2 linked regions of the Ovis aries genome follow. The protein of the gene in region 1 purifies or fractionates together with the protein of each later gene. This does not show direct contact. Links are inferred from orthologs where the notes say so. Each region holds a gene or a part of one and is shown in the gene's direction. Other genes may lie near its edges.

Region 1 (7,267 bases):
TATTGAACATCTCTCTTTTTTGATATATTGTAGGTGAGTTTACACCGGAGATGCAGGTGAGAATTCGACAAGAGATTGAGAAGGAGAAAAAAGTAGAGCCTTGGAAAGAACAATTCTTTGAAAGCTACTATGGTCAGAGGTAATATCAAGACAGATTTTGTAAACCAAATGTTAATTCCTATACATATGTCATGTGTTACTTCATCTAACTACTTTCCCAGGAAATCTAGTCTGCAATTTTCTTCTATTTTTTTTACCAAGAAAATTATTTTCTTTTTATAATTCTTAGGTACACAGAATTGGATTTCTCATAATCTTGAACTCTTAACACATTGCCATTATAGATGGTATGGTTTCTTATAAAAAAGATTTTATTTTCTTGAATTAGAGTCCTTTCTTTTTAAGTTCTATACTTTTTTTTTTTTTTTTTTACTGTAGGCAGTTATCCCACAAAAGGATAACTTATCCAGAATCACTAAGGAATCCTATAATACATGCCATAATATTCAACATGTAATTAAACAGCCTCTCTTCTCTAAAAGACACTCTGGGAGATACACATAGCTGAATCAAGATACAGACCCTTTTCTCAAGGCACTATAGTGCGTTTGTTTTTTCCTTAACAGAATCTTAATGGAAGGAATTCCCTAGTAGTCCAGTGGTTAGCACTCAGCACTTTTACTGCGATGGCGCAGATTCAAGCCCTGGTTGGGGAACTAAGATCCCACAAGCCTCGAAGCATCCCCCTCAACCGCCCAGAAAAAAAAAAAAAAACTTAATGGGGCCACTTAATAGATGACAATGGGGCTGTGTTGTTTGAAATAGAATTGAATACCCAGAGTCTTAATTGTCTGTTAGTTTCTCTTCCTTCCTTATGTATACCTAATGGACTGCATAATCATAGCTTGAGAACAAACAGCTCTTTTCCTTATCTTCCTGTCCTTATCCCCTTTGTGGTCATTTCAGAAGTGATTCTTAATGAAATGAAGAGCCCAGTACACTGATTTTTTTACCTTCTTGGTGTGAGCTTTGAGCTGTTCTACAGAAATCAAAGTGAATACATTTAGACCATGATCACAGGTGGCAGTTAATTCTGTAAATATTATTCATTCCAAGCGTTACAGCCATTCTTGGGTCTTTCTGTTTTTAGCTGTTACTTTCTGCCAGCTTTTTGGGAAGGACTACATTTGATTATTGTACAAATTTGTCCTTAGCCGTTCCATCTCGGGGGTACAGGACTGATTATTTGAAGTCACCAAAGAGGACTATCTTATTTTTACTTGTACATTATTCTGAGACATTAGGGGAAATCTGTAGTGAACCCTCCAGGGTAGTCTAGCTATTAGCCAGGAAGTCCTACTTGGCCTTCATTCCCAGGATAACTCGGAGGCACTTAATCTCAGAATTTTAGAGCTATACCAAGTAAAATTTAAACAGACTTTCCAAAGATTCAGTTTTCATTTTCAACCTCTGGAGATTAGTCATCTCTCCTACTGTCTCCTCCGGTTTCCTTAGATTTCTTGGGCCAGCCTTTCTACGGGTACTTCAGAACAAAGCTGTTCAGTTCAGTCACTCAGTCGTGTCTGACTCTTTACAGTCCCATGGACTGCAGCACACCATGCTTATTCCCAACTCCCGGAGCTTATTCAAACTCATGTCCATTGCGTCAGTGATGCCATCCAACCATCTCATCCTCTGTTGTCCCCTTCTCCTCCTGCCTTCAGTCTTTCCCAGCATCAGGGGCTTTACCAGTGAGTCAGTTCTTCACATTAGGTGGCCATAGTATTGGAGCTTCAGCTTCAGCATCAGTCCTTCCAATGAATATTCAGGACTGATTTCCTTTAGGATGGACTTGTTTGATCTCCTTGCTGTCCAAGCTGATTGCAGTCCAAACCCACAATCCTATGGGACATGGGTCTTTGGCTTCTTTCACTTCTCTGTGGGAAGTCTGTGGTGTATGCCTGTAGACAGTGTAGCTCCTTTGTAAGCAGAAGTAATAATAATAATTAACATTACAGTGAGGTTTTATTATGTCCTAGGTACACTGTTCTAAGTACTTTACATGCATTAGTTGCTCATCCTAGCAACACTGTGAAGTGATTAGCCTCAGTGTACTATTAAAGAAATGAGGTGGTTGGATAGCATGACCAATTCAATGAACATGAATTTGAGCAAACTCTGGGAGATAGTGAAGGACAGGGAAGCCTGACATGCTGCAGTCCATGGGTTTGCCAAGAGTCGAACATGACTTAGTGACTAAACAACAACACTGTTAAAGAAACTGAGACAGAGAGGCTACTCACTTACTTAATATCACATGGATAGTAGGTATCAGAGCCAGGATTTGAATCTAGGTGCTCTAGTTCCAGACCTTTCACTAATATTAATAATAGTGATGATAATATATAAAGACTACTGGCTAAGTACCACAGATTATTCCAGATATTGCCATATACATTATCTCATAATATATTCAGTAACATAGGCGATTTCTCAACTACAGTATTTTTTTCTTCCACCCTTTAGTTCTGGCCTGAGTCTTGAAGATTCAAAGAAATTGACAGCTTCACCCAATGATCCCAAAGTAAAGAAAACCCCAGCTGAGCAACCAAAATCTACGCTTCCTTCAGAGGCCTCACCTGTCAGTGTAGTCCCAGTAATTCCCCAGCTAGAATCTAAAGAAGAAGTACTGCAGATGCCATCACCAGTCAGAAAAGAAGAGCATGAAAGCCAAGATAAGATGCAGCCACACTCCACAGAGCCCCTTCTTTCCCCGGCTACCAATACAAATGAGCTTAGCAGCATTCCTCCCATCAAGTGCCCGAAGGATGAGGCTCTTGTGGAGCAAAAGCCAGTTGCCTCTGCTGAACAGGAATCTGAGAAAGAGAATCATCTCACTACACCTTCAAATTATAATAAAAATGAAAGCCAGGAAGCTTTAGTTACTTCCCTGAGCAAACCCAAGAGTCCTGGGGTAGAAACAACAGTAATGAAGCCCACAGTAGAAGCAGGTCCACAGGAGACAACTATGAAAGAGCCTCCATCAACTCTGGCTGATCACAGCCCAGAAAGCCTCAAGAGGAAATCTTCTCTCACCCAAGAAGAGGCCCCGACAAGCTGGGAGAAAAGGCCGCGTGTCACTGAGCATCGCCAGCACCAGCAGCCATTTCAGGTCTCCCCACAGCCCTTTCTCAGTAGAGGGGACAGGTTCCAGGTGCGGAGAGTACCACCCCTCAAGGTAAGAAAGGAAGAATTGAAGAAGAGAGATGGTCTGAACAAGTTTTTGGTTTTGCCTACTAAATTTCAAGTGTTTGTGATGTTTCTTAATGTGGAAGCAGTGGTATGTATTTGATATGTGTGTAACCATGGTCATATACATGAGTAAAATTATTAAGAAACAGGCATTTAGAAGTGCGGCTTTACAGGTCTTTATTGGGATTTGAATATTTATTCAAATATCTGAGAATCTAATGTAATCCACTTCCACCCACCCTCCCTGCTGGCTACTCTTGTATTTTAAGACAATTATGGAATGTATTCTGTTAAGTATAATAGCAAACAGGAGGAGGTCATTGATGTAAGAGGTCATGTATCTTTGTATCAAGAGCCATGATGTTTGAATGTGCCTTGACCCTTTTCTTGCTGCCATAACTGATGAGATGTTTTGAAGGTCTGAACTCCCTTTTAGTTCTGTCCTTTTATAGGAAATGTGTGTGGCCGCCATGAATCTCCCTCTCTTGAGGGATTTTAGTAAGATGGTATAGCCTAAGCTCTGCTGCTTTGGATATGTGATTAACTTGTGTTTTAGCCATATATTGCTGTGTATCAAGATCTTTTAAATTTCTATAGCAGTGTCACTACCTTCGTGTGTACTTGGTCTTGTGCCTAACATCAGTTTTCAGTTCATTCTTCATTTCATTAATCATATCTAGTGACTTAATGTTTTTTATTAATAGTATTTATTAGTATTATTGTGTCTGCATGAACTCCGGCACTGGGTATTCATTCACATTGGAATATAAGTTAAAAAATAAGCCAAATAGAAACACGTTTTTTCCTTTTTAAATTTAACTTAGATGAACCGAAGTCCTACTGGAAATAACCCTTGAAATACTCCGTTAGAAGTACTTGACCTGTTTCATGCGCTATGAGACTCTGCTCCTCTTTGCTTCTTTTTGCTAATACTATGCTGTTCTTAATTTTAAATTCTGTGGTTTCAGCACTCAAGACTCTCCTTTTTCCTTTTCCTTTTTTTGATATTTTTCTACCATTAGGATACACTCTCATGCTTTGCTGGAGATTTTCATTTTATAATAATCACTCATTCTTCTTCTTTAAAAATATGAGAAACCTTTCTTTGAAGCTTATCTTATCTCTAGACCTGAGAGCTGGGTTACAGTTTAGGTTTTACTTTATATAAATGACACTGGGTAAGAACCATCATTTCTGTTTCCACATCTTTCTGCTAATCCAAAGAGGCTCTGCACTGAAAACTTAAATCTTTTGTGACCAAATTTATGTTACTTAACTTTCTTCCTTTTTTTTTTTCACTCCTGCCTCATTTCAAAGCTTTCTAGCAGAAGTGACTTTAGTATTATAATTCTCTTACCTTAGACCTTATCCAAATCCCTCTTTCTGAGACGAAGCTTAATGTAATTTAGAACAAATCTTTTAAACAAAACTTAAGTAGAAAAACAAAATTTGAATTTTAATATCAATCTCTTATTGTATAAAATTACGTATGCACATGTATCTATCCTACATATATATATAATATAAAATATACACATATATATACAGCTACAGACAGATAGAAAACTCAGACATACGTTGTATATTACAGTTACAACAGAAAGAATCTAATTCCTTTTCTATACAAGGAGAGAGGGCTTCTCAGTAAGTTAAGTTGTTGCAGTTGTTATCAACGCCTAGAAACCTTGTGTGGTTTTCATAATTTAAAAAAAAAAGTATTACATCTCATTTATTCTACATAGACAGATAATAGGACTAGTTACATAAATAACAAATTATTTTTAAGCATTAAAAATTTTTATTTAAACCACTTTGAAGGATTATCCTTATTTCATCAACATGTTATTGATGATTTTCAGTCATTATGATAGATATCATTTATTGTGCTGAGTATCTTGTTATTCTCAAGGTTATTCTGATGTAAGATGGTTTGTTCCTAATCCTATATATGATTCCTCTAAACAACTGTGCTTTTTACTTCTTGTTTTTAATTTTCTAGTTTCATCTGTTTTTTCTCCCTATTAATTGTCTGTTCCAGATGGTATTACTAAAGGGTAATAACGACTTTACTCTGGGCAGCTTCTGAAATACTGTGTGCAGTTGGATGTAAAACAGATTCAACTTTGAGACAGAGGTTCAGTATATCTCAAGATGAGAAATATGTGGGCTTTATGACAAGTGTTACACAAATCCCATAGGTCTAACTTCTGAAAGAGAGAGAGTTTTTCAGGACTGCTGACCTTTTCAGAAATGAGTATTGCCAATAATGCAGAATCCTTAGTGACTTTATTATTCTCAATTAAGGAGTTCCGGAAAGATGCATTATCTTTGGGCTCAGTGGCTTAGTTTTTTTAGTTAAATGTCCTAGAACATCTGTAACCATTATTTTCTGTTTTTAACTTTACCAACTATTAGAAGGTTTAAGATTGGTGCATCCTGATGCATTCCAATAGATTTCAAAGTATTGTTTTGAACAGAAGTCAGAGTCTTTTCAAATATATTTTATGATATGAAAATCAGTGGTTTCAGACCTAATGATGCATTCAGAATCTCCTCACAAGGTTTTTAGAAATGCATTTTTCCTCTAGGAGTTCTAATTTTCAATTTTAGGGATAGGACTTAGAGCACATATATTTTTTTAAAGCTCCACGAATAAATATAATACCAGCAGGCGATGAGAATGACTTTGGTTCATAGTGTAGCCAGTATGTACGTATTCCCTCTTGGGTGGGTGGGGTGGGTTACACATTGTCTTTCTTCTGGTGCTATCCAGAGGCCTCTGTACTTTGAGATAATTCAGCCTATATGCTTAGCTGTACATGTGTGAGTGTGTAAAAGGGAACAAGAAATTTTCCCTGGACCTCGTAGTAAAGCCAAGAAATAAAAGACAGGCTTCCCAGGTGGCTCAGTGGTAAAGAATCCTCCTGTCAATGCAGGGGACACAGGTTTGATCCTGGGATTGGGAAGACCCCCCTGGAGAAGAAAATGGCGACCTACTCCAGTATTCTTGCCTGGGAAATCCCATGGACAGAGGAGCCTGGTGGGCTACAGTCCATGGGGTCGCAAAGAGGTGGACATGACTTCGTGACTAAACAGCAACAATAGTGTGCTACTTTATTTTTTCTATTTCTCTTTTCTTGCTATTACGCACATTTTAAAATATAGATATCATAGACAGGTCTGTATGTTAAATGATCAGCTGTTCTGAGTAGTAGTGACATTAAGACAGAATTGTGTTGAGAAAAGAGTTTTGTGACTGAGTGGGAGTGATTGTCAACGGAGGAGAGTCTTTGGCACCAGTAGAGGAGGTGAAAAGACCCTAGAGACGGACCTGTGTGGCTGTCTCCATGGATTGGTCTCTTAGCCACAGGCCTCCCGTCCTTGTGATAGCATTCACCCTATTCTGAGAATTTGTGTTAATGAAGTTTTGTTACTCTTATAAAAGAAAGCTAAGCTCTGTTGTTTTTTTTCCCCTTAATTCTTTCAGATCCCGGTCTCCAGAATCTCTCCCATGCCGTTTCCTACATCGCAGGTCTCTCCCAGGGCTCGTTTTCCAATCTCCATCACTAGTCCTAACAGAACAGGAGCCAGAACCCTTGCAGACATCAAAGCAAAAGCCCAGCTTGTCAAAGCACAGAGGGCAGCTGCCGCCGCCGCAGCTGCAGCCGCTGCTGCCGCCTCAGTTGGAGGGACCATTCCAGGACCTGGCCCAGGCGGTGGACAGGGTCCAGGGGAGGGGGGTGAAAGGAGAACTGCTAGAGGAGGGGATCCTGACTCAGACAGAGTCAGTGAGCCTGGCAAGGGCCCCGCACTGGAACTGGCAGGAACTGGAAGCAGGGGAGGTCCGAGAGAGCTTTTACCCGCTGGGCCAGACACTCAGCCCCAGTCTGAGACCAGGACCGCAGGCCAGCCACAGCCTCATAGTGGCCCTGGAGCACAACTACAGCAAACCCCCTCAGTGCCTCCCACATCTGCCGTCGGTGGAGCATGTGCCGGTGTCCCCTCACCAGCCCAC
Region 2 (7,267 bases), on another chromosome or scaffold:
TACTCTAATATGGGAAACACCCTAAAGGAGATGCAGGATGTTCAGGGAGCCTTGCAGTGTTACACTCGTGCCATTCAGATTAACCCTGCATTTGCAGATGCCCACAGTAATCTGGCTTCCATTCACAAGGTACTATTTTTTAATATGTATTTTATTATATGTGCATCTTAGTAGATAATGTTTTTAATTTTAGGGAACATTTTAACCATCCCACTTTTATTTACTTCCAGGATTCAGGGAATATTCCAGAAGCAATTGCTTCTTATCGCACTGCTCTGAAGCTTAAACCTGATTTTCCTGACGCTTACTGTAATTTGGCTCATTGCCTGCAGGTAAAGAATAACGGGCCAGTAACTGGCTTTCAGGGTTGTAATCTCTCTTTAATTGTTATGTGCCATATTAATCCAAGCTTGGTTGGAGACAGTGTTCTCTAATGGGTTATCTGACATTACTTGAGGCCAAAGACACATAAAATGTTAAGTCGTGGAATACGATTTACTGGATAATATCTTCTTTTTGCCTTCTCTAGATTGTCTGTGACTGGACAGACTATGATGAGCGAATGAAGAAGTTGGTTAGCATTGTGGCTGACCAGTTAGAGAAGAATAGGTTGCCTTCTGTGCATCCTCATCATAGTATGCTATATCCTCTTTCTCATGGCTTCAGGAAAGCTATTGCTGAGAGGCATGGAAACCTCTGCTTGGATAAGGTGCAAGTCTTTTGTTTTAATCTTTTTGTTGTAAAGTAAGACACAGATACAAAGAACTGTGTGAATCAGATTTATGGCTTAGTGAGTTATCGTAAGGTGAACACCACCCAAGTTGAGAAATGAAGCTTTGTGAGTGAGCCCAGAAGCTCCTTCCATTGTGTCCTGTCTTTTATTTTTATATTTAGCTGTACCAGGTCTTAGTTGTGGCATACAGGATCTTCAGTCTTCATTGTGGCATATGCAATCTTTAGTTGCAGTACACAGGATCTAGTTGCCTGACCAAGGATCAAACCCAGGCCTTTGCATTGAGAGCGTGGAGTCTTAGGCACTGGACCACCAAGGAAGTCCCTGTCCTATCTTGATCATAATCCCTTCCATTCTATAAGGCAGAATCCTAACTGAAATACTACCAGTAGGCTGATGTTGTTTTCCTTTAGTTTTAAAATCATAGTTTTTAATAATATAGTTTATACTCATTTTTGAAAATCAGAGCACTACTTGATAAAAGGTGGGAATTTACTTAGCAGAATTGAGTGGAGTGCTAGGTCTAATTCTGTTTTTTGAAAATGTTCCCCTACAGAATTTTCTTCTTAAATGTAGGGTTTGTCATACTCTGTCCACTTTGCTTCCTTCCTATAACTTTTAGACTTGCTTGGGCTATTTCACTGGCCTCAGAAACAGGTCACAGTATGAACCATGTTATATAAGTTGATAAGGTTGCATTGAACTGGCTATATGAATTAAAGAAGTATTCTGGGCACAAAACCATTCCCAATAGGTGTGAGTTGTGTTTTTAGTCAGTTTTCCTAGGTGAAAGTTTACATATAGATTCAATTTTACTAACAAGCCTTGAATTCCATTGTTAGATTAATGTACTTCATAAACCACCATATGAGCATCCAAAAGACTTGAAGCTCAGTGATGGTCGACTGCGTGTAGGATACGTGAGTTCTGACTTTGGGAATCATCCTACTTCTCATCTTATGCAGTCTATTCCAGGCATGCACAATCCTGATAAATTTGAGGTAAGACTAGTGTTTCCCTAGGGCCACTATTGTCGCCATTAGGTGTTAGGCCCAGTGTCTTTTTAGGAAAGATCTGAGCCAAGGTTATTACATACATATTATGTGCTGCCTTTCAGGTATTCTGTTATGCCTTGAGCCCAGATGACGGCACAAACTTCCGAGTGAAGGTGATGGCAGAAGCCAATCATTTCATTGATCTTTCTCAGGTAGGTGTAACTCTTATACTTTAGCTTTTTAATTTGAGCAAATAGTGAATAAAACTGTTGACGTCTAGCTTGTATTTTTCCTGACAAATATTTAACATCAGCTCTTTCATGCCTTTCCTGGAGAAAGGAATAGCAACCCACTCCAGTATTCTTGCCTGGAGAATACCATGGACAGAGGAGCCTGGTGGGTTTGCCCATGGGGTCGCAAAGAGTCAGAAACGACTGAGCAACTAACACACACACGCACGCATGCACGCACATGCATACTACATGCCTGTGGGCAGTTGCTTTGATCTTATTTCCTTGATTGTTTACATTTATTACATTACATTTATAATCATCATGGATTTTGCTGAGGTTGCAATTAAATAGAAATATGATATATCTCTGCTTGGACATAGAACTTCTCTGGGGATTGAGCTAGCACTTGTGACAGTAGATATCTAATATTACCTGAATAAGTTGAGCAAGATGGTGGCTTGGAAGAACAAACAGGTCATTTAAAGGGCCTTTGCCTTTAAATCTTTATTTCTATACTTGGCTCCATTGCTATTTTCTCTAGGAGCTAAAGTTTTATGATAAATTAAGATTGAAACCTGTGAGGGAATGTTGCTGAAGGTATGGACTAGAGTTTTTTCTTACAGGCCCTTCTGGCCACTTTGGTGATTAACAGAGGTATGTATGGTATGTCTAGTAATTCATATAGATGAATCATTGAAGTCCTAGTAGAACTGCAAGACTCTTGTCATTTCATAAATAATTTGTACCCAACATCTTTTGCATTATAGCTATTACTTTGGAAGTACACCTTACCATTTTTGGTGTAGGGTTGGACTCTTCTGCGACCAAGCAGCATACGACCCTCCATCTCTTGAGACCTTTCAGGATTCACTGCTTATTGACTGAAGTATAAACTCTTTAAAATATATATATATCTTTTATACATATATATTAATTGAAGCATAGTTGACATACAATATTAGTTTCAGGTGTGTGTGCACTCGCTAAGTTGCTTTAGTTGTGTCTGACTCTTTGAACCCTATGGACTGTAGCCCCCGAGGCTCCTCTGTCCATGGGATTCTCCAGGCAAGAATACTGGAGTGGGTTGCCATTCCCTTCTCCAGGGGATCTTGGCAACCCAGAGATCAAACCTGTGTCTCTTGCATCTCCTGCATTGGCAGGCGGGTTCTTTACCACTAGCGCCACCTGGGAAAATTTCAGGTGTACTACATAGTTAATTGATACTTGCACATATTATGAAATCACCATGAAAAGTCTGGTAATCATCTGTTTCCTTACAAAGTTACTCCAGTATTATGACCATATTCCTCATGTCATAAGTTATATCCCTGTGGCTTGTTTTATACCTGGAGGGTTTTTTTTAAGTAATCTTCATATATGTAAACTTCATATAGGAAGTCCAGACTCTTCAGAATGGCCTTCACAACCTTTATGAGTTTGACTGCAACCTTGTTTGCCACTGCTTTTCACCCACCATCAGCCTTCAGTTATACCCCATAGCAAACAGAAGTGATCTACCCATTTTTTTCAACCTACTGTGCACTTTACTCTGGTTCCTTATTCATACAGTTCTCTGTGAGATTATAATTCTTCCAACTCCCTCAAACTCTTATGCATCTTTGGACACCCATTTCAAATACCATCTCTGCTATGAAGCCTAGTTGTTCATACATTCAATGTAGAATTAAACTCTCCTTCCTCTGTATCCTGTTTCTGTGATACTGTGGGCCCATTTTAATGGCACTTAACCATATTTTTACTCTGCATTAATGTTTTCTTAATTTGTGTTCTTGTATTTTTGCATCTGGGAATTTGAATTCTGTTTAATATCATTAAGGCTAATTGAATCAGTCTGAGATTGTACATAATAAATTTTTATTTTTTTATTCTGTAGATTCCATGCAATGGAAAAGCAGCTGATCGCATCCATCAAGATGGTATACACATCCTTGTAAATATGAATGGTTATACCAAGGGTGCTCGAAATGAACTCTTTGCTCTCAGGCCAGCTCCTATTCAGGTAAAGGAAATAATGATAATAATAATAACATTCACTATGTTTATTGGGCTAAAAAGACAATGATATGTTTTTCCCCCCTCTGATTAACTGTCCTTTGACACAATAGGATAGACGTGCCTAACTTATGAAAAAAGTGTAGTTCTTGAAAATGCATAGGGACAAAGAATTATAGGTAAGGACACAATGCCCACAGGTACGTGTTTATGGAGACATGCAGTTTGTAGTTGATGTAAACAGTTGTTCTGTGTTATAAATTGGAAAAACAGTTTAGCACTTGGAAGTTTAGTTTGAAATATTACTTGATTGCTCTTGGCTAAAGAAGTCCACCCTCGTTTGTTGACTTATTTAATTTTAGACCCTTTTGATGAAGGTTCTTAGTTTTCCATCTGATTTTTTTTTTTCTTCTAGGCAATGTGGCTGGGGTATCCTGGGACTAGTGGCGCACTTTTCATGGATTATATCATCACTGATCAGGAAACTTCACCTGCTGAAGTTGCTGAGCAATATTCTGAGAAGCTGGCTTATATGCCTCATACTTTCTTTATTGGTGATCATGCTAATATGTTCCCTCACCTGAAGGTAGGTAGAAAAACAATACTGTAGGGGAATTGCAAAGAACTGTAGTCATTTATTTTTTACTACTGTTCCTGTGCATCCTAACAGATATGTCTGAAACTTTTTTTTATTAGAAAAAAGCAGTTATCGATTTTAAATCCAATGGGCACATTTATGACAATCGGATTGTGCTGAATGGCATCGACCTCAAAGCATTTCTTGATAGTCTACCAGATGTGAAAATTGTCAAGGTCAGAACCTGGTCAATATTGTAATTGAAATAAAGTTATCTGCATTTGGGATCTTTTCCCTAATGATGTATTTTGTGTGTAATTATTTTAAGATGAAATGTCCTGATGGAGGAGACAATGCGGACAGCAGTAATACAGCTCTTAATATGCCTGTCATTCCTATGAATACTATTGCAGAAGCAGTAATTGAAATGATTAACAGAGGACAAATTCAGATAACAATTAATGGATTCAGTATTAGCAATGGACTGGCAACTACCCAGGTAAGAAGAGAATAATAGAATGTACTGTGTACCACCAAGTATACATTTACCTTTTTCAGATCTCATAACTCTAGGAGGTAAGCATCATTACTCCTGTTTTATAGATGAGGAAATGAATTTGGGGAAAACTGGCATCTTATATAGGTTTGTTTGATTTTAAAAGTCACTTGTATTCAGCCATCAGATTACTTAATGAGAGTCTTCTGTGTTAATACCTTGTTATTCCCTGCCTCTGTGGCTTTACTGTTACCAATGGTGAAATATCTGTAGACATCGTACAGTTTCTTGCTTCTATATAATTCATCCTTTCCCCAGTTAAATCTTACTCATCTCTTAAGACTGTCAGTTCAGACAGCTCCTCCGACAATCTGTTTCTGTCCATATCTGTAACCTCTCCTTCCCTGCTCCATTGGTACCTGTATTCTCTGCTTCTGAAATATTTGGCATGTATCTTTACATCCAGCACAACACATTCTAAGTCCTGGGTTTGAATGTATTTGCCACTGAATTGAATTACTTTAGAGCCTGTATCTTAGCCTCTGTAATGTAGTATGTGCTCAGTAAATATATATTGCTTGTGTACTTGAATAAGTGAATGTGTAGCTCTGTCAAGAGATATAAGGCAAGCATCTTTGGCCTCTTAGGAGTTAAAAGTTTTAGTGGTATAGCAATTTATACAGAGGGTGCTTGAAGTGAATTCAGGTGAGTTGAAAAGACTGATGTGTTTTTCCCCCCCTTCTGGTTAACCGTCCTTTGAAACAATAGGGCAGACATGCTTGACTTAAGGGAAAAAAAGTGTAATACTTGAAGTGTACAAGGGCAAAGAATTTTGAATGTAGAACACAATGCCCATTTGTATGAGACGTCCATCACACCTGGAATAGTTACATAACAATGTAAGGTAGTCCCCAGATGTGTGGGAATTGCAAGATAAGACTATAATTATGTATGTAGATGCTCAGAAATAGTGGTGAGGCGAGGAGCTTTTACAGAGATTGTTTGGTAACTGAAGTTTAGTCCTGAAAGGTGGATGTGATTTAGAAAAGGACATTTCATTCATGAAGAAAAAGAGTGAGAAGAAGCTTGCTATTGGACTTATACGATTTTGAAGAGAACTTTTTGGCTAGAGTGAGATGTTTCATAGTGCAGTCCACCCCAAATTAAGATAGTGCCCTAACTTTTTTCCTTTAACTTAATGCGTCACAAGTATTTTCCCATTGTAGTTTAGTTATATGACTTTTAATGGTTATACCACTTTGCATCATAAGGATTCTTTATTGATTGAAAAATATTGGAGTATGTTGACTTTAAGTATAATCGTCATTCATATTCTTTTTCTTGCTGTAGATCAACAATAAGGCTGCCACTGGAGAAGAGGTTCCTCGTACCATTATTGTAACCACACGGTCTCAGTATGGGCTACCAGAAGATGCCATTGTGTACTGTAACTTTAATCAGTTATATAAAATTGACCCTTCTACTTTGCAGATGTGGGCAAATGTGAGTATGTGTAGATTCATTATTAATGTCTAGAGATTCTAGAAAAGATTCTGTATATAGGCCGTCTTGCTGAGGCTGCCTGCCCCTCCCCCACCCCCATTCAGGAACTATTGTGCTCATGTCTAATTTTCAAAAGAGCTGTAGGTTTCGGCAGTTTTTTATGTTCTTTCATGTGTCTAAATATCAAATTATGGACTTTTAAAATTGATGTATTTAAAAGCAAACTTCTTCAGGCCAAGTGGTAAATATTTTTGGTTTCTCAGTCCATACTGTCTGTCATATCTACTCAGTTCTGCCGTTGTAACAGGAAAACACCATACTTATGTAAATGAATGAACGTAGGTATGTTCCAATAAATTTTTATTTACAAAAGCGGGCAATACGTGAGATATGTCAGATTTGGCTCATAGGCTATATTTGCCAACTCATGGTCTAAGCTGATAGTAAAGCTGTTAATGTATATTCATCCGTGTTTAGTAGCATTCTTGCAATATTGTAGAGTTAAAACTAGGAAGGAATTGGTTTATGCCGTTACCTATATCAGTCATTTCATTGTACTACTTCGTGTAAGCAGGACCTCTGAAGGTTCTAAACTTTGCTATCCATACCTGGTTTTTATTCCATAGAGCTAAAATGGAGATAATTCTTGGTTGACTTTTTTTCTGATCAATATCTGGGTTTTTTGGTGTGTTTTCTTTTTTTTTGGAAGGAGGGAGG

The links. The genes of interacting proteins can lie anywhere in the genome.
Region 2: the proteins of ASXL2 (region 1) and OGT purify together in Homo sapiens (affinity purification with mass spectrometry; 3 studies listed by BioGRID and IntAct, with this or other methods). This does not show direct contact. The link is inferred for Ovis aries from reciprocal best matches to the Homo sapiens genes ASXL2 and OGT.

The regions. Positions count from the first base shown.
Region 1 is NC_056056.1:33,088,935-33,096,201, reverse strand, and holds part of ASXL2 (putative Polycomb group protein ASXL2), read left to right. Parts: intron 1-33; coding exon 34-139; intron 140-2,526; coding exon 2,527-3,238; intron 3,239-6,739; coding exon 6,740-7,267.
Region 2 is NC_056080.1:64,223,489-64,230,755, forward strand, and holds part of OGT (UDP-N-acetylglucosamine--peptide N-acetylglucosaminyltransferase 110 kDa subunit), read left to right. Parts: coding exon 1-129; intron 130-230; coding exon 231-332; intron 333-529; coding exon 530-709; intron 710-1,575; coding exon 1,576-1,734; intron 1,735-1,850; coding exon 1,851-1,940; intron 1,941-3,855; coding exon 3,856-3,981; intron 3,982-4,389; coding exon 4,390-4,560; intron 4,561-4,670; coding exon 4,671-4,787; intron 4,788-4,879; coding exon 4,880-5,050; intron 5,051-6,397; coding exon 6,398-6,550; intron 6,551-7,267. UniProt on the Homo sapiens protein: Catalyzes the transfer of a single N-acetylglucosamine from UDP-GlcNAc to a serine or threonine residue in cytoplasmic and nuclear proteins resulting in their modification with a beta-linked N-acetylglucosamine (O-GlcNAc).